Linked DNA regions of Struthio camelus. The protein of the gene in region 2 interacts with the protein of the main gene of each other region in a pairwise test. Links are inferred from orthologs where the notes say so. Each region holds a gene or a part of one and is shown on either strand. Other genes may lie near its edges.

What was found.
Region 1: the proteins of XIAP (region 2) and NEK6 interact in binary tests that used the Homo sapiens proteins (3 or more experiments, as listed by UniProt). The two-hybrid records come from large-scale screens. The link is inferred for Struthio camelus from reciprocal best matches to the Homo sapiens genes XIAP and NEK6.
Region 3: the proteins of XIAP (region 2) and CASP10 interact in binary tests that used the Homo sapiens proteins (3 or more experiments, as listed by UniProt). The two-hybrid records come from large-scale screens. The link is inferred for Struthio camelus from reciprocal best matches to the Homo sapiens genes XIAP and CASP10.

Annotation. Positions count from the first base shown.
Region 1 is NC_090961.1:1,652,563-1,660,338, forward strand, and holds the start of NEK6 (serine/threonine-protein kinase Nek6), read right to left. Parts: upstream 3,134-7,776; 5' UTR 3,119-3,133; coding exon 3,017-3,118; intron 1-3,016. UniProt on the Homo sapiens protein: Protein kinase which plays an important role in mitotic cell cycle progression. Required for chromosome segregation at metaphase-anaphase transition, robust mitotic spindle formation and cytokinesis.
Region 2 is NC_090952.1:11,059,516-11,067,533, forward strand, and holds the start of XIAP (E3 ubiquitin-protein ligase XIAP), read right to left. Parts: upstream 3,061-8,018; 5' UTR 3,046-3,060; coding exon 3,010-3,045; intron 1-3,009.
Region 3 is NC_090947.1:10,378,779-10,386,392, reverse strand, and holds the start of CASP10 (caspase-10), read left to right. Parts: upstream 1-4,481; 5' UTR 4,482-4,732; intron 4,733-5,289; exon of another isoform or gene 5,290-5,392; intron 5,393-7,309; 5' UTR 7,310-7,330; coding exon 7,331-7,614. UniProt on the Homo sapiens protein: Involved in the activation cascade of caspases responsible for apoptosis execution. Recruited to both Fas- and TNFR-1 receptors in a FADD dependent manner. May participate in the granzyme B apoptotic pathways.

The DNA.
Region 1 (7,776 bases), on a different chromosome or scaffold from region 2:
CCATGACAGCAGACACCTGAAGTAGCACCAAGCTAAAGTAAACATGTTGCGCACAGTTTTCAGTGTCAATACAATTTAAAAAAATAAAAAAAGTCTAATTTACTGCATCATGCCATGCAATAAATTAAATCATATGATTAAACACTAGAAGCTAAATGATACAGAACATCTTTTTTTAATTAAAAAAATAGAAGTAGTTTGTTTCTGAAACATTTTTAAACGTATTAAAAAGAATACAACTCAAAAGGCTTCTCACACATGCAGAACTACGGCAACTGGAGCAAGCGCAGATGTTTAAATACTTAGCACAGGTTAGAATTTGAAGTATTCTCGATCCGATCCAATCCAATGTGTGTATAAAAATAATCCAAGATAGAAAAAGACCTACCTATCCATATAAAGATTTGATAGGTTTACGGACTGCTGCATTTGAACCACTATTAAAAAACAAACAAACAAACAAACATGGTTTTCTCCTGTTAAATAGAGCTGAGCTTACAAGTTCTAGACCTGGCCATTTAATCACAGCTCACACAGAACCTCTGTTCCCATGTCCCACGTTCCAGCTGATGAAAGACAGCAGCTTCCAATCTAGCTTTAAATAAAATCAAAAACCCTTTAAGAAAGTTTCAAACAAGTATTTTGGAGGACTTAATTTTCTATGCAATTTAGACATACTGCAGCAATCTCAATATGATGAAAAAAGTTATACTTTTAAACTAGATTTTGCACACAAGTTCTTAAAAAAAAAAAAAATTAATCAAGTCCAACATTACCTCTCTGTTTCAACACTTTTTTCTCCTTTTAACTTCAGGTGCAAATCAAAAGTCAACCATGGAATCCAGAAATGGAAGAGATCTACTACATCACACTCAGCGTGCTCCTCTGCCAGCAGACTAGCGCTCCCTGAAGAGCATCCTCTGCTGCTTTGTCTGGCCCAAACTCAACACTAGTGGGGATCCTACCACTTCCTTTCGGGAGCCTATTTCAGAGGCTGCTGCAATTTATAGTAGCAAATCCATGCTGATATCCAATGTACTGTTATTTCTTCATGCATCATCTCTATGTCTCACTGCTCAAGAATCAAAATCCAAGATACTTGTAAACATCTTAGCATAGCTCTACTAGAAGATAAGTTAAGTATCTATAGTATTGAAAAAAGTGGCATCAGCAGTCTGCTTTCTGCAGCCTGGATGCCCTTAAAGACGGTGACCTTTAAAAGGCAAACGTTGCACCACGTACCTATATAACTTACTGGACTTCTACTTCACCATTTTTAATTTGCTCTCCCATCTAGAGACCGTACAACTACTGTCCCAGGAATTCTGAAAAGGTATTCTAAAATCTGCACCCAGCAGCGTACACAGGCCAGATTACTGAATCAGGAAACCAGATCAAGCGCCTCTTCTCAACACTGGGGCCTGAGCATGTTCGTGCTGAGCCTCGTGCTGAGCTGAGCTGATCTACCAAACTGTGGCCACTGACAGGACCTAGCCTAGCTCTCCAGGTGCACCTCCTCATCCCTCCTTTGCGTCCGTCCTTTGCTCCCTTTGTGGACCAATTCCTCTCTGGGGAAAGGAGGAGGCATAGCTAGGGAAAACAGCAATCGCTCTTTCAGCAGTACAGAAGGTAAACCGGTTCAACTCCCTCGCTTAACCAAGACATTTTTTCTTCCATAGTTTTATGCCAGTTTACTCTGCTGAAGCAGCTCACTGAAAGTCAGATGAGTGCCAGCACTGGCCCAGGGGAAACAGAGAAAGTAAGAGAAACTGTCCCTTTTGGTAGCATCAAGCTGTTGTATCAGCTCAGCCATCCAGTCACTCGGCGGGATGTTGAGACATATCAAACCTTCCTAACTCTGTTATCCTCAGTTTGCAGATAATCTATTCTTATCTTTTAAGGCACTTAGAGATCTAGTGATGAAAAGCACAAAGAACTTGATAAGTACTTGCGTGTGCTCGTACTATAAACTTTGCAAGAGAAGGGCTGACTGTTATAAACATATTAGAGTTAATGAGACTTAATAACAGAAGAAACTGTTTTGAAGGCCTCAGTCTTTAAAAGGCCGAAGTTTTAAAGGTTATCTAAAATGGACAAAAGTAACTTTCATATGATTTTATATTGGAAAAGGTCACTTCTTTTTCAAGTGTTCAGCTTAGTGATGCACAGCTGTACTGAAAACATTTTTATTTTCCTCTACCGCCATGCCTGTCTTTTAACCAATAGCAGAGTAGCTCACCATTTCCATGTCGAAAGTCATGTTTCTAGGGCCTTTGGTGATAAACAGTATCAATGTAAACATGAATTATTTTTGAGAAAGCAAGTTTGCTTTCAATACTGCAAGAATGTTTTTGGTGCACACAGAAGCAGAAAGAAAAGGCAATTTAAATACAGTAGAAGTCAGATTCCTAGATCATTCCCAGAGTACTTTTCTCCAAACATTAGGACACCAAACAAACAGCTGATTGAATCTAAAGAACTCTCTTAGTCTGGCAAGTAGATACATAACGTAACCTCTTTCAGACAAACTCTACATACGCTATCATGTTTAGATAGCAATGGAGAGAATCCCTCTGACTTGCTCCTCAAAAATATATAGATATATAGATCTATTTCTTTACATATATTTTACATATATATACACGTATATCTTGCTACTATCTCTAAATAAGTCTGTTCCACAGACACCTCTAACTGTAACTGAATCATATTATACACCGGAACATTTTTCATGAACTCTGTCCTTTAAGATCCTAAACATTATGCTGAAGCTACTCACTATCAAAAGTGACTGAAAGGGTTTTCACAAGCAGAAACAAGTTGAAAGCTGTTAGTGACGAGTATTTTTCAAATCAAACGTCTCCACATACTACGTTTGAAACCAGTTTCTTACAGTCAGCATCCATCTCTCACACCTCTCGTTCAGCACGCTGCAACAGTATGAACGGCATCGCATAATAACGGTCACTGCTTGTCACAGACTTCTTGCCTTTGACCAGGATACAAAGACACGTACCGCACAATTTCCTGCAAACAGCCCAGCAGAGTGTCCGGATAGGTGCATGCTGAAGCAGTCACCAGTGTTCACATAAAAGGTAAAATAGACACGTTTGGTCATTTTCCAAGACAAATGCAGGAGTTTGTGTCAGAGCAAGAATACATATTCATGACTCCCTTAATCTTAATTCTGTGCTCAAAACTCTAATAGCATCATGGCTGCTTTTCACCTAGATAAGTGTTGAATTTTAATAATACTAAATATCAGAATAGTAAAAGAAAAGAATACTAAAAAACTTCTAAAATGAGGTTCCATTTATTTATTTTGCTCATTAGCCAAAGATAAAGGCAATTGTTACGGCTTTCTTTGCTATGAATGTTCTCTTCCATAGCAAGAGCATCTAAGAAAAGTGAATTAGAAGGACAGAAGTTAAAAACCCAAGTCCAGCTATTAAACCTGTTTTCTGTAACAGTGGGTATCCCAACCGGGCTTTCACTTAGGAAAAAAGCAAAAAATCAAGCCCCAGATGTTATAATTATGCCCAGCTCTATCATTCAGGTTTTGGCATCTTTATCTAGTACTTCTCCTTCTCTTCCAACAACAATTTTCTTGCCTTAAATTTGGAATGAATACATTAATTTTTACTGCCTGCCCCACTTGCTGACTGCTGCAGTTCATACTGTCTAGTCTGTATTGCCATGTTGTTTTTTAAGTATGTATGTTCCATAACTTGGAGCTTAAACATATCTGACAGCACAGAAAGTAGGAGGAAACGTGAAATATATCCACCAACTCATCTCCTACACCTCTACAGAGAGCGTACACACCTTCAGAGGTGGAGGTCAATTTGTTAATAACTATCCCGATTTTACAGCTAAGAAGGCAGAAAATGCATAAAGTCAGCTATGTCTGCTCCTATCCCCACTTCAAAAAATTGCTCATTGAACAAATAATTATTAACAGATCATTCAGCACGCAAAAAAAAACTTTTCAAAGCCATTTAAAGGGACCTTCAGACAAACAGCTAGGTCTGAATAAAGCCAGAAAACATGCTGTGAGATAAATCTCCGGGTTTCCCACTATTTTCTGTGGCACAGCCTCCATTACTAGGAGCAAAGAAAAGAGTCAATACAGGCTCAATAATATCAATATACGCATAAGTATTACATATTGACATTAAAACTTTTGGGCAGGATCATAAGAGGCAGGTATTACAAAATATGTCCGGTTCCCAGCATGGGTTTAAAGTGTGACTTACTCAATTTCACCTGTTTTTCTCTTAACAAAATACATACTAAGTAATTTAAAGATATATATTAAAACTCATATTCAAATTATGTGCCCCTCCTCTCTCATAAAGCACACATTTGTCAAGAAACAGAATTCCAGAGGCAGCAGGGAAACAAAATAAACAAAAGTGCTTTGTACGCGCGGAAAATGTTCATTCTGTTCTGACAAGTTCCTCTTGGGGTGGTAACCGTCACTCACATCCAGTCTAGAAATCTCGCTTCCCACAGAAGACGCTCGCTCCTTTTCCACCATAACAGAAGTTCCTCTCCTCCCAACCCCCATTTTTATGCGTCTAAGTCATAAAGCCATAGGAAACGGGGCAGCAACGTTCACATCTCAGACAAGTTCCTCTTTTTTTTTTTTTTTCCTCCTTTTTTCTGTTGCTGCTTAAAAGAATATGACTGTCACAGAGAATGTCGACAGGAAAAAAGTAACAGCGGAAAGAGTTTTGACTCAATGTCAAGAGATGTATCAAAACATGAAAACAGTATAAATGCCGCAAGTTAAACAGTTGCTTACAATGATTCACAATAATGAATTTTTAAAGGAGACATAGAAATGACAGCAAGTCATTCACAATGTGTCAGGAACTTGCATCACTGGACTTCTAATTGTTACAATATTTCCCATCAAATTACTTGTAGCGCAATGATGCCATAGGCAATTATCATTGGCAGAAATATTTTGCGTGTGTGAACAGACAAACAGATGGAGCTCCAAAGTCCACCATTATTCTCAACAAGTATCTATCGCACTCTGGAGTGAATAACATGTTGAAGAAAATGGTATTTTGCAGTTCAACTCAAACAGCATATACTCTCTCTAGAAGGCAATGCTGTAATCCCTGAAGCACTGGTTTTATTTCAGACTTCCTATTTTTTAAAGATAACAAAAAATAAAGCGTTCTGAGAATATGTATGCTCCTCTCCCGTAAAGTGCTCAGGAGGACATCAGGAGCTGGCAGACAAAAGAGATGAAAAATACGAAGCACCTAAAGAAAAGTTCTCAAATTGCAGTCTAGGGACTCCCAAAGAATTGTAAAGTTCTTTTCATGAGCTGCAAGAACACAAGAGCACAAAGAATCTCATAGAAAAGATAAGGAAAAAAAAAACGTATAAAAAGGACATAATGGGCCTTTTTCATATGGCAGTGTCACTTAGAGTGGCATGCAAACGGAACTTGTATGGGAACCACTAAGCTAAGGCATGAGTGTTTGGCAGCACTACTGTTTCTAAGGTTAGAAAAAAAGAAGGAAAAAGAAAAAAGTGTCATCACACATACACCACACAAAACTATGCAAGTATTCCTATTTTACAGTATTTTAACTTTGCTAAAATCTTAAAACAACGCTATATAACAACACCTCTCTGGAAAGCAACCGAGTAAGATCCAAATTTGTCCTAGTTTTGACGACATCTCCGTTTATTTCTCACTTTTGCCCAGGCACGTGCTAGCTAGCCGCAGAGCGAGCGAGCGCGCCGGCACCCCGCGCAGAGGAGCGGCCACGAGGCGCCGCGGGGCCCGGAGCCCCCGGGGCGGCGCGCTGCGGCTCGGGCCGGGACCCGCGCGCCTCGCCTCGCCTTCCGCCTCCCGCCGCCGGGCCGGGCAGCGCCCGCCCGCCCGCCCGCCCGCGCCGGGCCGGGCCGGGCCGGGCCGGGCCGGGCCGGGCCGGGCCGGGCCGGCGGCAGCCAGGTGCGCTGCGCGCGCCCGCCCGCGCGGCGCCCCGGCCCGCCCGGGCGGCCCGGCCGCGGCTGCCGCCTCCCCGCGCCGGCGGGCAGCTCCCGGCCGGCAGCCGCGGCGGGCACACCCCCGGCCCGGCGGCCCGGCCCGGCCCGGCCCGCGGCCCTCCCGCCGAGGCGGGCTGTGCTGCGGCGCGGGCGGCCCCTTACCTGCGGAGCGCCCGTGGCCGTGCGGGCGCGGCCCCTCGGGGCGGGCAGCGCGGACGCCCGAGCCGGCGGCGGCCCCACAGCCCCGCACCGAGCGAGCGGCGCCGCGTCCCGGACACAACTTCGCCGCGCGCTCCCGCCTCCCGCGCGCCCGCGCCGGCCCGGCCCGGCCCGGCCCCGCGCCCAGCCCGCCGCGCGGCCCCGCCGCCCCCCCACTCACCCGGCCCGGCCGCGCTGGGGGAGGGGGCGGCGGCGCGCGCGGGCACGCGCGCTCGCGGCTGCCACGCAGGCCGGGCGGCTCGGGGGCGCGCGGCGGGACGGCCCCGGGGCGGCGCCGGGCGCTGCCGCTGCCGCCGCCGCCGCCGCCGCTGCCCGCGGCGCCCGGGCCTCCCCCGCGCCCGGCGGCCGCGCCGCAGGCCCCGGCCCCGGCTCCGGCCCCTGCGCGGCCGCGGCGGCACCAAAGCGCCTGAAGTCCGCCCAAAAGCCAGCTCGGTTCCCGGGCGCCGACCCCGGCGGCACGGAGAGCGTTTACCTGCGCCGATTTTACTTCCGTTTTAACTTGTGGGTTTTTCCATGTCCTGAGATGAGTCACAGCAAAAGCAAAACTAGCCTAGGGAAAACAGAATTAGCAGAGCCCTCCCACCAGCGCGCCGGCTCGCGGCCTTTACTCCCCCGGAAAATTACCGCTGCCAGGGCCTCGCATGTCAGAAGTGCCCACGTCCTTCCCCGAAAACTGCGCAGTGCTCATTTGCAAACTTCCCCATTTTTAATTTCAGCCTCTGGTTTCTCACTCATGATCCCAGGGATTAGTTCCTTCCCCGCTGCGGGGCTAATACAAACTGAGTGGCGACAGTGACAGAATTAGAAATTTGTTGCAACAATGGCAAAATTATACAGCTAAGACTTTCCTTCGCAGTATTCTCATTTGTCTTTCGCTGATCCTCTTACGTAACGTTAATTATGGGGACATGTAATTAGGTGCTCTGCTCCTGCAAAGACATGTGCTAAACATCACCAACAGAAGGAGTAGCCGTAATGATCGTAAGAGCAGTAGTCACATGTCTAAAGCAAAGTGCATGACTTTTTTTGCAGGAATCGGGGTCTAAACGGGTCTAGGTCTAAAATATATGATCTTAGGAATTCAGTAGAACCTTTTTTTTAATCAAATGGAAATTTTTTCTTCCTTTTTAAATTCACGAATTGCAGTGCTTTGTAGATGAAGACAAAAGCATTAGTAACCTTAGTATACTTAAGTCTAAATTCAACAGTATTTTTTACAAGTGAAGAAAAACTCGAAACTGAACTTAACAATAAATAAAAGTGAAACTAACAGCTCTCATTTAATTGTCTAAACTGGGTGAAAGGCATACAGTAACAGAGAGCATATCTGGTGAGAAATATTTCTGATTGCTCATATTTTGTCAATTTTTGTAATCCAAGGCCTAGCTACAGCAGAAGAAGTTTGCTGGCATGACAGTAAACCAGCCTAGCACCGAGGTCCTATCACAGCAGGAAACTGCTAGTGCCAGCTTGTAACTGATACCAATACCAGTTCAGCACATGAAATAAGCTACGCAAGCACGAGCACTTTTCGCTAGTATA
Region 2 (8,018 bases):
GCACTGTTATAACTGTTTCTTAATGTCTAATAATAAATCATGAATATTGAAACATAGGTAATATGAAAGCACAGGTAGTGCTACCTATTAAGTTTGCCAAAGACTTGTCTTTTCCAGACTGCTTTTTCTGTAGCTATTAAACCTGTCAAATTTCATATATCCGGACCAGAATTTCCCAAGTCAGATAGATGCCTCAGGCTATTTTCTTCAGTAGTTGTAACCAAAATCATTTAATCATTTCCAAGACTAAGACTGTTGTTTTGCAATATTAAAACATTCCATTAACTTTTTTTTTTCAGAAACTCGATTGCCCTCATGGTTGATGCAGCAAATTTAATGTAGCCAAAATAGTTGGCTTTATGTAGGAGACATACTTTCTGCTATCCTCAACAAAAGCCAACTAATTTGAGAAATGTTCTCACACTTTGGTGCTTTCCCATCGTGCATACACTCAGTAGAGACTTAATTTTAACTTTTGTATCTTATGCCTCTGAAGATTTAGGGCAGAGCGACTGGGAAAAATTCAGAGGCAATGAATCTAATTACATAACATGCAAGAATGCCTCGCGATTCCAGGGCTTAGACCGAAAGCCCTTTTGGATAGGGATTGTTTCTCACTTCATGTTGTCCAGCATTAACTGAGAGACCCCAATTTTGCTTGAAGCTTCCAGTTACTACAAGTAACAACAGTAACTTCCGTTATTATAAGTAATGAAATCTTAGCAGAATCCTTTTGGTTAGTTAGAAAAAATCATAATGAGTATTCAGTAATCAGTAACAGTATAAAATTTGCTTTGATAAGACTTCTGGTCCAGAAAAAGAATAACCCCAAAACTAAAATATTACATTTACTGATAGTAGCCTAATGGTAATTCTGAGCCTATAAGAAAGAAAGAAACAAAGAGAAAAAGAAAGAAAGAGGGAAAGAAAAAAGAAAGAGAAGAAAAGGAAAGAAAGGAAAGAAGGAAGAAATGGAAGGAAAGGAAGGAAGGGAAAGAAAGGAAGAACAGAAGGAAGAGAAGGAAGGAAGAAAGAAAGGAAGAAAGAAAAAGAAAAAAAAGAAAAAGAAAAAGACTTCCCTGGACTAAAGGAAAAAATGGTTCAAAAGGTCTGAGGCTGTACTCATAAAAACAATCACGTAAGATATTACTGCTGATAGATTCTAGTTAACATTTCTCTATTAAGACAAAAATTTGATCGCAGTCCTATAAACTTTTTGTAGTTTGATACTGCAAAGATGTGCAAAGTTTGCATAATTTTAGGCAAAGTAATCTATTTAGCTTACAATATAACTGAAGTCTTGTAGTTCTAACATTTCTTGTTCTGCAAAAATAAAATTTACAGTGGTTCTTGAAAATAATTGCATCATTAGACCTGACTCTATATTTTTGTCATCCAGTGAGGTTACCATGGCACACAGTCCCTGATGAGAATAAATAATTTTTACAGTCCCCTAATTTTAATCTTTTGGCTTCTTCTAAGGGCTTTGGCACTTTTCTTAATTTGAAATCTTCAGAGTCATCTGTATAGAGTAAAAACAAGAAATGGAGTGATTTTTAAACAAGAAAACCACCTGTACTGAAAACGCAGGTCACTGTTCTGGGAAATACTATAAAATATAAGTATTTCAGGGATTTCTTTAATATAAATAGAAATGACCCCAAGAAATATTCTAGGAAAAAGATTGCTTTAGACACACAATTGTGTGAAAATTTATAAAGCACACCTCTTAAATAGTTTAAATCTCTCTCTCTTCTATAATGTATGCACATACCATTTTTATTTTTCATTTGTACTCTGTACTTCCTTAAAATAAATCAAACAAGAGTAAAAGGCTCAAGCATTGCAGGCACTATTTGCGCAAGCCAGACATAACTTGGTTACCTAAAAAATTCTGGTATGATAATCATACACAGTCACCTATCTGCTAAACAGTTCTATTTCAGTAGTAGAAATTCACATCAATCGAAACTCACCTCACATCAGTCCAAAGTAAGGTTATTTCATGATCTTTGATATATTATGACACAGTAAGATATTAGTACCTTAATATTGCAATGTGAACATGAATATTTAGTCTTATAAATATCCTTGTCATGCCTCATTGGTAATAGTTTTATCAGCAATGATTTTCACAAATGTCACTGCTTTGCTGAGGTTTTCATACTTTTCTGAACAAAACAGATTGTTTTAGAGGTCACAAGGTGCTTTTACTGTGGCCCATTTACAGGTTTTGATCTCTAAATCAAAGCCTAAAAAAAAAAAGAAAAACTGTAACATGAGTAACTAGAAGAATTGGAAGATAAGAAATCATAATGGAAAAAAAAAATTCCACAATAAAGACAGTAATGCTCCTAAAATGTTTATTTTCTATGAAAGCTAGTTGTTTTCTGGTAAGTTTAACCAACTTAAATTTTAGTTTGAAGTAAAATTTCAAATTAGTCAACTGCACTGTAGGCCAAAACTAGTAATGCCTTTGGCAACCTAACAACATTAGAACTAATAGTATTAAGGTACTTTTCACTGTAGATGAAATTGTAAAATGTTAGCTTTGGCCTACAGTACAATTTACTGACTTTCTATAGCGGTAGTCTCATTGGGCTTTTTTGCATGGTTTTTTGACTAGAGAGTAATTCCAGTTGTCCTTAGATTAGTTTATTTATCTTTGTCTTACTCTTGTATTTTACTCTGAGATGAATTGAGAAAAAAAGAATTGAAATTTTACAGATATGAAAATAACTTTTAGTGAGATAAAGAAAATCTTCTTACGGTGTGGCCATGTATGGCTGCCCTAGGTACCTGCATGCTGACCATATAGGTTTTTTTTTTTTTTTAGCCCATATGCAATTTATGCCATGGATAAGTGACAAAACAAGCAAGTTAGGTTGAAAATTGGATGCTATGTAGCATAAATGGTGATACCTTACATACTGTTCTCCCAAACCCAGTTTTGCACATCACAATGGGATATTACTGGCTCATTTACTCCGTATCAGGGAAGTAACTTACATTAGGTATTATTGCATTAAGGTTGATGTTATTCATCCTCTTGTTTAAATTGATGTTCTTCATTGAAAATCCCATTTAAAAAAGGTACCTGCAAGGCAAATGAGGAATCTCAAGGTGGATCTGCAAATGGTGGTTTTGGCTGGATCTTATTTGAAGAGGTATGTTTGCTTAATGAAGGAGTAATGCTTAGATACAGAAAGAGGAAAAGGAGCACCACTGCATGTGCTTGACCCTAAGGGAAGTCCAATAGGTGTTTTTGGGGGGATTTTATGCTAATTGAAAAAGATTTGAAGCCCTAACTAAAAAGATTCTTTGGATTTTGATTTCTGCTTGTTATTTGTTCCTCATGAACATGAACATTTTGTAATGTGGACAACTATGGCTGTTGGGAATGCTACAGATCATTTCATGTAAAGATGACCCAATATCCTCTGGGGAGAGAGGAAGTTGATAACATTTCTAGACTAATTTGATGTATCTTTAACTAACATTACTAGTAAAAAATACATTAAAATTCCTTTTAAAATTACTATTATAAATCCTTAAATAAATTATTTTGGAACAATGTGGAGAATTTTAATGAAATGTTACACAACTTTATGAAATTCAACAAGGACAAACGCTGTTAAGGTGGGGGCAATGCCTGGGCTCTCAGCAGGGACAGATACACAAACTCAAGAACACTATGGCCAATACTGAGTGTTTATTACCTCTACACCTAAGCAGAGGTTCCCCAACAATTTCCTGATCAAGGCATTAATGGAGCAGGAGAGTCCTTGGCACCGCCGAGTGTCGGTCCAAGGCAAGGAACCCCGGGGGGGCACTACATGAGTTTTTATGGACTACATACATGCACAATAAGCATAGTGAGCTCATCGCAAATCTCAATTCAAAGCCTAGGTGTAGCGCCACACTGGCATGGGCTCAGCTGCCTGACTATGGGTCAGCATGCCCTGAAGAAACTCCTTTTCCCATGGAACGGTCTGGCTGGCTTCCATTGCCTATCTCCTCAACATTCTTCCACATTTACCTGTACAAATGCAAACTCCCGCACCTGGAAAGGAACAACCCCTTGCAACAATACACACTGGGGACTGACTGCCTGGAGAGCAACTCTGCTGAAAAGGACCCGGGATCTTGGTAGACAGCAGTGGACATGAGCCAGCAGCATCCCCTGGCAGCAAAGAAGGCCAGCAGCACCCTGGGCTGTACAAACAGGAGCAGAGCACCTACTGATCGAGAGAAGTGATCACCCCCCTTCACTCAGCACTCATTAGACCACATCTAGAAGACTGCATCCAGTGTTGGGGCCCCAAGTACAAGGAAGGTGTCGATCAACTGGACTGAGGTCAGCGCTCCTGGACCAGCAGGATGGTTGGGGGTGGCCAAGGGAATGGCACTTGGCCTGGAGAAGAGATGGCTTTGAGGGGATCTAAAAGCAGCCTTCCAATACCTGTAAGGAGGTTGCCAAGGAAGCAGAGCCAGGCTCTTCGCAGCACTGCATGGTGGAAGGATAAGAGCCAATGGACATAACTTGAAACCACAGGTTCCTACTGGGTATAAGGAAAAGATTTTCACCATGAGGACAGTCGAACAGTCTCCATCCTTGAAAGCTTTCATGACCAGACTGGATAAAGACCGATCTGATCTCATGGCTGACCCTGCGGAAGGCTAGATTAGATGATCTTCTAAGGTCTCCTCCAACCTGAGCTATTCTATGATTTTAAAACACAACAAATTATTGAAAACTGAAAAATCAAATAATACCAGACACTAACCTCTTTGAAATATTGTTTTTAACACAATCATGTTACAGATTTTAATTAGCTTGAAGCTTTTCGAGTCAGATAAATATAAATTAGACTTAGCAAACAGTTCATTGACATGAAGCTTTTGATCAATAATGGGTCATGAGTCATGGAGGTTCATATGGGAATCTCTGTTTGTTGACGTATTCGCCAAGAAATTAATGCAACTTCTTATTCCCTACTAATCCCATTGACATAGGCATTGTAAAGCCCATTGTGATTGTGATGACCCTAAAATGCTAACATTAATTGGTCCATTACCATCAGGTTAATGAACAGAGTGAAAAAAGCTGTGCAATGCAGAGCTAGAATTTCAGAGATGTAGTAGAGAAAGAAAATCAATCAAACAAAAAAATGGAGACAAGCATGAGAGAAACAGTAAAAGAACGATGGAGAAAGGAAAGGTCCAAATGACAGAACGGTGGCATGACATGAAACATTTTCTCATGAGTATGACAATAAAAAATTGTCTGTTTTACCCATGCATTCAATGTTTCTGCTGCCCCAGGAGGAAGAGATGCAGTGGTTTGATGGGAACACAAAAGCTTTGCATTTTTATGCTGTTCCACAGAAAATCAAATCTGACTCTCTCTTCCAGATGAGTTTGAATGGGACAACAGAAAGAAGAGGAACGCTATGGTTGACAAGCATCTCCCTTTTATTTGATCACTGTGGTCATTCATTCTTCCCACATGTCTTGTTGATGATGTCCAAAAATTGTTTTATGTGGGGGAAACTCAAGAGGGTTGTCCAGATCTTAGCAGGCAAACTTTCCTGTAATTCACAAATCCTTTGCCTCATAGGTAGAAGGTTAAAAGAGATAGTCGCATATCAAAGGCAGGTGTATTTTATACATACATACATACATATATATATATATATATATATATATATAGACTTTGAACTCTAGTTGGAATCAAAATACCGGAAGAAGAAGAAAAAGCAGAACAGAAAAACAATGGACAAAGTGCTACCAGAGTACTTTCTAGTTTGGGACCAAGAATGAGGGATCACGGTTGACAGTTTCAGAAGTAGCTTATTTGAGTGCCTGATGGTCTGCAAACCCCAAGCTTAGGAATTCAGGTTTTCTCTTACATGATTATCATTAGTCACAGACACACTTCCCTGTTAACATACTTGATATCTGGGGTACACAACCCAAGTGAGTGTGTGGACCATGCTGATAATGTCTTATCAGCTTTAGGATTTACCTTCAAACCTTCATATTCTCTTGATGCACTAGTACTCTTACCTCCCACAATAAAATGGCATGAGGTAACTGTGTCCCAACTTTTACTTCCTCGTACGTGTCACTGGGTAAGTGCCTGTGAACTTCAGTAACAGTCAACCCAGTCAGCTACCGCAAGCTGCAGTTACTGCCCATCCACTGATAAGCAGTCTGTTGTTTGCAGACTTTGCCTCCCTATCCTTCCTGTATCATCAATACCCAGCCAACCCTGAGAAGATGCTACAGTCATCTGGAGTTTTCTCTGGACACATCCCAGACAAGAGATGGGCAAAAGCACAAACTGTAAGCGACCGCTTCCTTGCAGATGCTTAGACACCAGCAAATGCTGCCTGGCTCTCCTACCACCAAATGGCCACTGCCACAGAGCTGCTCTGCCGGACCCTTCATACACACAACTGCAGACTAGTTATGTGCTGAAGTCAGCAAATGAATTTTGTCAGCAAAGTGCAGTTAAGTCAAATACAATTTATTGTGGGATGTATGTAACCCAAAAGCCATAATGATGGAGGCCTGTCCTGAAGACTATCCAACTATTCTGACTCATTGCATGAGCTGTGAGCAAGTTCAGGAATACCTGCTTTACAAGTTGTACTCTACCTTTCTGCATTAGTGAACTCAGGTAATGCTGCAAGTCTCTAAATTGCACTGCCAGTGAACCTGTCACTGCTCACCTTATAAAACATGCAAAATTCCTAGTTTTGTTCATATTTTCACACATACTTTGATATAGCACTTGCTAGGAAGGTGTAGGCACCAGAAAAGAAAAAAAAAGCTTCTTAATAGCATTCATCATTTTTCCATTGTGCCTCCATTCTTGAAGGCAGGCAAAGGGGAATCATTATTGCTCTTAATGGTTGCAGCACAGGCTTGGAGCATAGTGCCTCAAAACAGCTCGTGTCTCCATCCTTCAAATAACTCACATCAGTAACTGACTTGCAGACCTCCACTTCAATTGACTATTGGTGAGACTGGGAACTGTGCAAGCGAACTGTGTAGACGAGAGCTTAATTTGTATTTCTGCTTTCCATTCTTCATCAGCAGGTGCATCAACATAAACAGAATCAAAAAGTTAAGAAGAAGAATGATGCTGTTCCAAATCCTTGACCAGAATGCTTCCAGGCCAACAGGGTTTGGAACCTGAACCTAAATCTGTGGCTGACTCTTGCCTACATTTGGAATTGGGTAAGAAAGACAAACAATAAACAGTGCTCACTGAAACATTCCTGCTTTCTGTGTGCTGAAAACAAACCAACTTTTCTCAAACAGCATGTTTCTCCACAACCAATTACCTTAATCTGAATTCTAGAAATGTAGAATTTATTTTATACGTTAGGATGATGAAGTAATACTTTGTTTAGCTATGAAAAAAACAAAAGTTATAAGATTTATCTGGCAATCACTTACCTGAGAACATTTCTCCTTTCAATTACTTAGCTTAACAGAAACAGCCGGTACTAGCTAATGTTTACGATTGTTACTTGTCTAAACAGCACTGACCAAATGGAAATTGTTTGGAATATGTGGAAACATGCCTTCTTTGTACCATTTTTCTTCTATGTGAGAGCTTAGGAAATGTCCCCACAAAAGAAACAATCACCAAAAATGACAGATTTCAAGAAACAGCATACATTTTAGGAATTTAGAGTAAGATAATTCTTAAAGATACATAATATAAAATCTAAGTATTAAAGGACATTTTAGTCCAAATAGCCACTCTTGCATGTCTACACAAGAAAAGTAACGCGGTCAGCTGATGTTTACCCCTCAGACCAGGTAGTAAAGTTGTGCCTGGTCACATGCATATATACAGTAGGATAATACACAGGAAATGAGCTGTTCAGATACATTCTGCTTTTGTACATTTGCAGCTCTCATAACTGGTGTCTGCAGTATTTATTTAGAAAAATCAAGAATAAATATACTTCCATAAAACTAAACTGACATTAACACTA
Region 3 (7,614 bases), on a different chromosome or scaffold from region 2:
TGGTTTCTGGTGTAGTTATGCCATGCATCCTTGTGGTGCATATGTATGTCATGCAAGCAAAAAGAAAAGTTTTGTTTGGTGGTGGTGTTTTTTTTGCTAATACAGTGTATGCTAGTTCCTTGAACAAAAAAAAAAAAACTGCAGAAGACTTTTTACTAGTATAGCTGTATTTGATTTGAATAAAAATCACATGTGGTAATCTATATGATTTTGCCAACAATGCTTTTCATTGTCAGCTGGGTCTCGCAGGCAGCTAGTAGTAGTATATTGCTACTAATCATGATGGCATGGCCAATACATTTATTTTGGTAGCAATGACTTTTTTTCCTCAATACCCTGTTGTATTTCCTAGGTGTTAGCTTGACATTATTTTTAATAACCTTTTTTTTGGAAACTACAGTTCTTAAGTTTCATCAGAAAAAACAAGTAACTTTCATAATTGAAACTGATATTCACAATTATTTGGCAAAGAGTAGATATCTATATCTGATAAGCACTCAGGAGTCCTTCCTTGTTATATGGTGCAAGTCCACTCTCTTCCTGACCTAAGAGGTTCCTAAACTGCTGATTGATTGAGGACTGTTAGAGTCTATCAAGAGAAGAAACCCGCTTAACGAGTATTACCTTATATTCTTTTCTTAAGCATCCATAAACAATTGTAAGATCAAAAACATATTTATTTATATTAATATATAATTTTGTATAATACATATACCGAGCCTTTTATATCATTACACTTTAAAAATATTCAAAAAAATCTTCACTCTTGTTATGTCTTTTTTTATTTTGTGTTCAGTTTTATTTGCATGTTAGATATGGAATACATAGTGAAATATGTATTTGTGATAAGAAATTTTTGCACAAGTTAGAAAAATACTTCCCCTATATTATAAGCCTGTGTATAATGTTTTTTTTCTCTCTCTATCCACTTCATAAGCTGGTATATCTTTTTAATAAAAGTATATAGAATTGGGAAAAGCATATAGAATTGGGAAATGTAACCCAAAATTTTATGTAGATCATGGGTACATTAAATCATCAGTACCTGTGTTATTTATGTTGGTGTAATTTTATGTAGGCAAAGGTAATAAGAGGAGAAAATGGTATAAAATCAACTTTTGCAAAATCTAGACATTCTCTAAAAGCTTGTTCCTCTACAAGTGTTAAATTAAAAATACTAAATCCCATTTCATGATGTTACAGGTCTAGAAACAAAGATATCATAGTGGTGGTGTGGGGGAGCTCAGTTCTTCCTCCAGTTGCCTACTTTGTAAGAAAGGGCCTTTTAAATTGGTTCTTTTTATAAACTAGTACCATATTGCTTCCGGCTTTAAAAATATTTTGTATCTTAAATTTGAGTTTGTAAGTACTCCACAGACTCAACTAGAGAACTTGTTGCTTTGCAACACCAGAAAGGTCTGTATCATATGTCATGGATAATAAAAACGGCATTCATTTCTGACCTCTGTTTTTTTCATAAACTGCCCAGCTTGGAATAAAATGCAGCAAGTGTAATTTTGAAACTTTACCTTGCTCATATTCCGTGGGGTGAGAGGAGTATTATAAAACGATGGATTTGGAATCTGAGAAGTTAGTTCCTGTAGTAGCTGGTAAATGAAGCAGATGGTATAAAACAAATACACGCTGTTCTGTGGCTATAGAAATAAGGTGTGTTTCCTAGTTATTGTACAGACGTATGTGATAATAAATATGATTTCACTTCACAAATTAAATTAACTTTTTTCTCCCGTTTCCCTTATTAGCCGTTACGTATGATGAGCACTTCACTGCTTCATAGACACCAAAAGCAGGGAGAATGGAACCAAGAGGAGGCAGAGAGATGAGGGAAAGAAATACTCAAAGTTCAAGCAGGAACGAGAAGGGGAACGATAGGGAGAACCAAGAGAAGAAAAAGTAGGGAAAAGAAGATTTGGAGGAGAAATACAACATCAAAATTGGAAGGAGAAAGAAGAAGACAGGAGAAAAGGGAGGAAGGAAGTAAGAATAATAGTGGATATCCTTACAGGATCCAACTTTTTTTTGAGTGATGCAAAATATAACTATTTACTAAACTATCAGTGATAGGATGTATTCTGTTTCTGATAGTTTTATGACAGCATAAGTTGGAGAGGAGGGTTCAAGAAGCATACATATTCTTCACTTTAGTTTATGGCACTGTCAGTAAAGTCTGTGTCCTATTCCTTAAGAAATGAAGAGGAAACACTTTGAAAAAAAAAAATTGAGGAGATTATTCTACATAATCCTAGCAGTAAAAAGGAAAGGAGTCTCTGTGTCTGGCTGCTTAGATGCAGCAGTGACTGCAGTCCTCTGATGTCCTAAGATTTGTGGGGACATTCCACGCATCTTGCAGCGTTCATGGACGCCAGACACTGAGTTTCTACACTGATGTCTTGGTGCTCAGGAGATTCTTGGCCCAGAGCAGTACTTAGTCTGTAATCATGTAAGTACCAAGCAGTATTAATTGCCTGGATGCCGCCTTCAAGAGTGGCTTATGGGATAGACTCATTCCCTGGACGAAGTGCGTTGTGAAAACCAATGTTGATGAAGTTGGTATTTGCTAACATGCAGGAATTTTGTGATGCCAGAAGTTGTCTGTCACTTCCCCCATAACTTTCTGTGCTCCTGGGTATGTTTGATTGGGATCGTCTGGTTTTGCTTTACTGTGGGCCTGAAATTTGAGCCTGGAAGCTGACTGCATGTAAGGTCTGGATGGCATCAAGCTGTACATGCATTACAGATCAGTTTGTTACTGGTGCAGTGGTTGAATATCAAACTCCCATTCAGTAGCCAAAAGAAAAGGGGGGGGAAAAAAACCCTCCATGATGGATCCAGAATTAAGCCTAAGATGTTAGCACTGGAACATAACAAGCAAAAAAGATAGTGGTGGATTTTCATGGTCGTGGTCTGCCAAAACGTATAGCTTTCTGAACCCGCTGTTGAACAAGAGAAGGAAAGCCACTCTTTTCTGCCCCTGGCTTGTGAGCGCATGGAACGTCCGACTCTGTGGCACAGAACTTCAGTTGCCAGTAACTGTAATAGACATTTCTTGCATTTCTGTTTGCGTCATATATATGGAAGAAGGAAAGGAGAAATGGCAGAATATAGATGGTGCTTTACCACTGGCTCAGAAAAAGCACCTGTGAGGCAGGAGATTGTGGTGTTTGCCAACTTGTGATTCAGGAAAGAAGTTAAATTCAAGAGGATGTTATGGTGCTCACGCTTGCAGGTGCAGCATACTGTGTGTCTGATGCATACACCCTTTCAGCTCTTTAAGAAGTAACAGTGACTGTTACAGATACCTGAATCAGTACCAGCTTTACATGACAGTTTATAAGAATTCTTTTCTGATATGTACAGCTTTAAATTTCTGACGTGCCAGATGCTATTGCTCTGAAAAAGTTGCTGTCTGTGGATGATGTTCTGTAGTCTTGTCTGCTTGCTGTACTTGTGGTTATATTCCTTTTAAACTTTTATTTCCTCTATGGAATTATTGGATAGCTTCTCTCTGTGGCTATATCAAAAAAATCTTTCTTCATCTCCTTTGTTAGAGGGTCAATAAGAGAGTGCCAGTCTTCCAGGAATTTTGTTTTTGTGAATTGTCTCTTTCTGTACATACTCTAGTTTGAAATATGTATTACTCTGACATCATATTTTGTATGTTTAATTTGTAGAAACATAGCATCATAGGAAACATGATTTGAATCAGTGCCATTACTGAAATAGAATCATAGTTAAGCAAAACTGCTTAGTCCTGTTGCTCCTAAATCATAAATGTTGGGGTTTCACCTTATTTTGCCAAGGAAAGCGCCTGCAGTCAGGCTGATTGTCTACATCTCCCTGCCAATCTCAGAGTAACCCTTTACCTTGTTGGCCCATTTATCCTGTAGACATCAGGTGCTTGTTAAATTTGGCTATTGAGTTTCTACAGCTTTGTTTTAAACAAAAACCAAAAACCCAACACCTGACTGAATAAAGGACAGCGAAGCCTTTTAGTTTCAGCAGAGAAGTCTGCTGTTGCATGTGTTGGACAGCTGCTGTTTGGCGGGAGCAAGGAGACTCATCACATCCCGCTGCCCTGAGCTGGAGGGTCGGGGGAGATGATGCTGGTGTTGCTGAAAGCAGCGAGGACCCTGCGCTGTCTTCCCCCCCCCCCCCCCTTACTGCAGCGGGGGTGCTGAGCGGGAGATCTTGCATAAAAACTGTACTTGCAGGCAGTAGCTTCAAGGCTTCTTGTCAGGTGAAGAAACCTCCCCAAAATGTTTGGGTCTCTTTTTGCCGTGTAGCTAGCTTTAGACATGGCTTAAAACCGAGAGAGAAAACAGTTTCTTCCTGCGCTGCTTTTGCTTTGCCGGTTGCTTTTCCCGACTGTGCAGCGGAGCCCCCTGGCGCGGGGGGAGAAGGCTGCCAAGCGCCGGGGCCGGCTGCCCTGCGCGGCCGGGCTCAGCCAGCGGGGCCCCGCCCACGCCCCGGTACCGCCGCTCCAGCGCCGGAGGCGGCCCCCAGGCCCCCTCCCCGGTTCGGCCGTGCCCCCTTCTCCGCCCCCGCCGCTGGGGATGTCGCTTCCCCCCGCACGGCGCCGGGCAGCCAGGCCCGGGCCGTGACTCAGCACCGGTGCTCTTGGGTGCGGCCTCGGCCTCGGGCGGCGCTGAGTGGCAGGCACGGGGGAGCCGCCGAGAGAGGGGACGGGAGCGGGAGCGGATTTATTTGAGAGGTAAGAGGGAGCGAAATGGAGAGGGAACAGAGGAGGGATTCAGCGCTCGAGTCGGGAGCTGAAGCCCCTTCCTTCCTTCCTTCCTTCCTTCCTTCCGGTATCGTGCAGCTGCTGCTGGGAAACTCACCGGCCGGGGGCTGAGGGGCTTGCTTTGGGGCTGAGGGCCGGGCCCCAGCACTCCTCAGGGCCCCGTGGTTTTGCTTTAGTTTTAAACCTTGAAGCTGGGCAGCACCCCAATCAATAACAAGTTAAAGGGAAAAAAAATAATAATTTGATAATCCTCAGTTCTCATTTTATGTGACTTTCCTTCCTGGAGGAATTGGATATTTTGCAAAACACAAATTGGAGACACTGATCCATCATTTTTTTGTGTGTTGACAGTCTGCCTGCTGATCTCCTGGTAGCTGTGTCTGTAAATAAATGAGTGAGCCCTGACAAACTTGGGGAGCAGGGAGGTCCTGCCCCTGCATTAGCACTGGGTGGTTAGCATTTGTCTTTTTTTACAAACTAGTTTTACTGGAAAAGGGAGTGTTTGCTGTTTTTCCTCCTCTGCTTTTAGGAGCCTTTCACCGCAATGTTTTAAAACCTGCCTGTGAAACGCATGAAGTCATAGACTGTTCCAGAAACCCAGTAACAGTAAGGTGAACACTGGATCAGGCTGTAAGTCCGCGGAACCTCCTCTCACAGTAGAGCTAGGAATCAGCAACAGTCCGGTCTGCTCTCAGTACAGGGGGGGAAGGAAGAGAGGTCATGGCTAGTAAACACAGCGCAGATTGGGTGGCCTTGAGGTTATTTGGAACTCAAGCAGGAAGGGTTTTGATGGAAAAGCTTTCCAAAGGTGACTGGAATGCACATTTTAAAACTATTTTAAAGATAGATGAAGGAATTGGTGCTGGATCTTCTTTCGGTTTGATTTCTGGTGAAATGAGTACTTACGCTTGACCTACGCACAGCTTTTCCCTGTTCCTCTAAAGCTATGATTTTTAAACTAGTTTAGTTGAAGTCATTGTCTCCAAACTCTGAATAGACACAAATGCAGTTTGAATCTGGTGTATATAGGCTTGTTAGACAGGAATCAACTTAAGCTAAATTATTCTGCTAAATTTAGTTGACTAAAGCATCTAGATAGGGTTTGAAACTAGTTTAGCTAAATTGATTTAAAGCCTGATTTAATGTGAAGTGATACGATTTCTCTGCGTAGATAGATGACTGAGATCTGAGCCTTTTTGATAGCAGCGTGTTTCTTCAGTGAATAAGGTGTCACAATACGCAGGATTTCATTTGAGGAGAGAAACAATGTGAGTTACGGAATTAGTAAGCTATGGGAGAGTAAGCTTGAATACAGGCAAAAACAATACGACCTTTTTTTCTTGCACAGTCTCTGACTTGTGACACAGGGCCAATACAGAATTCAGGATTCCTGGGTTCTGTCAAACCTGTTGTTGAAATATGAAATGGTGCTTGTATCCTTCACTGGGTTTCAGGAGTTGGGATAATATTTCTTATGTGCCCTTGAACACAAAACTGCCACAGTGTCTTCCTTGTGCTCCCCACATGCTATGATAACCTTTGTGGTTTATCTGCTGACCAGTCTTCCCACATGCTTCAAAGGCTTTGGATTCAGAGTTTCTGTCCATACCCCTACTTCTCTGGGTTTTTTTTTCTGCTGCTCCTTCATGCAGAGAGCTTTGCTACTTCCAGCTGCACTTAATGGAGGGTTAAGGACCTCCCTGACTCTTTGGGCAGAGAACTTCAGAAGCACTTTCTTACCAATCAAAACAAGTTTCCCTATGTAACCTCACTCCAGCAGAAAAGACCTGCCTAAGCTACCTGGAGGAAGTTGGTTTAGCAGAAGCGTGATTAGTTTCTGTTACGCTTCAATAACGTTGAGTTGCTTGTACAGAGTCCTTTTAGATTGATTTCTTATCACGTTTTATTAGACACTCTCATAAGGGAGGTCTTAGGCTTTTCTTGTGCGAAATGCAAGACGCAATCTGGTGGCAGGGTATGACTGTGAGTGGATGGTTATTTACAGTTTCAGCTTGGATATCAGACTTGAAACAGAGGAGCGCCTGCCTGCTGCAGCCAAAAATCAGCAGAGTCCTCAGACTGCAGATCAAGGAACATGTGTGATTTTACCACTGCCCCCTCTCCACTAAGAGCTATAATAGAGTTACTGCAGGGACTCTTTGCAGCCACAGACAATGTAGAGGAACAAAGCTGCAGTTGTGAGGCAGAAGGTAGTTGGGAACTCCTTCCTCTGAACATGAAAGTTGATGGAAGGATATAGAGGAATTTAGGTTGGAAGAAGGAACCTCTTGAGGTCATCTAACTCCGCTTTCTGCTCAAAGCAGGGCTAACTTCAAGGGTAGACTGGGTTGTTCAGAGCTTCTGCCAAATCTACTCTCTGATGCATTTGTTTGCTTGGAGAAGGAAGTACATTTCAAATGGATTCAAAAAGAAATTGCTCTTCTGCAGAGTATTCAGGGCTTCCAAATAGGTGTTGGATGAAATCCTTATTTCAAGGATTCTTGTACTGAAGACTACAGTGTTACAATGTTTGCTTTCTGCTTTCAGGCAGAGAGCATCCCCAGCAACATGGGGGATGATATCAGCTTGAAATTCCGTCAGCAGCTTCTACTCATTGAAGAAAACCTGGGTACCGAAGATGTAGCAGCTTTAAAATTTCTCTGCATTGACCTGATCCCCTTCAAAAAATTGGAAAGTGTGCAGTCAGCACTGGACATCTTTCAGTTTCTTATGGCTGAAGAGTATCTGAGTGAGGAGGATACTTTCCTACTAGCTGAGCTCTTATACAGAATTAAATGTCACTTCTTGCTCAAAAAACTTGGCTATACCAAGGAGAGAGTGCAAGAATATCT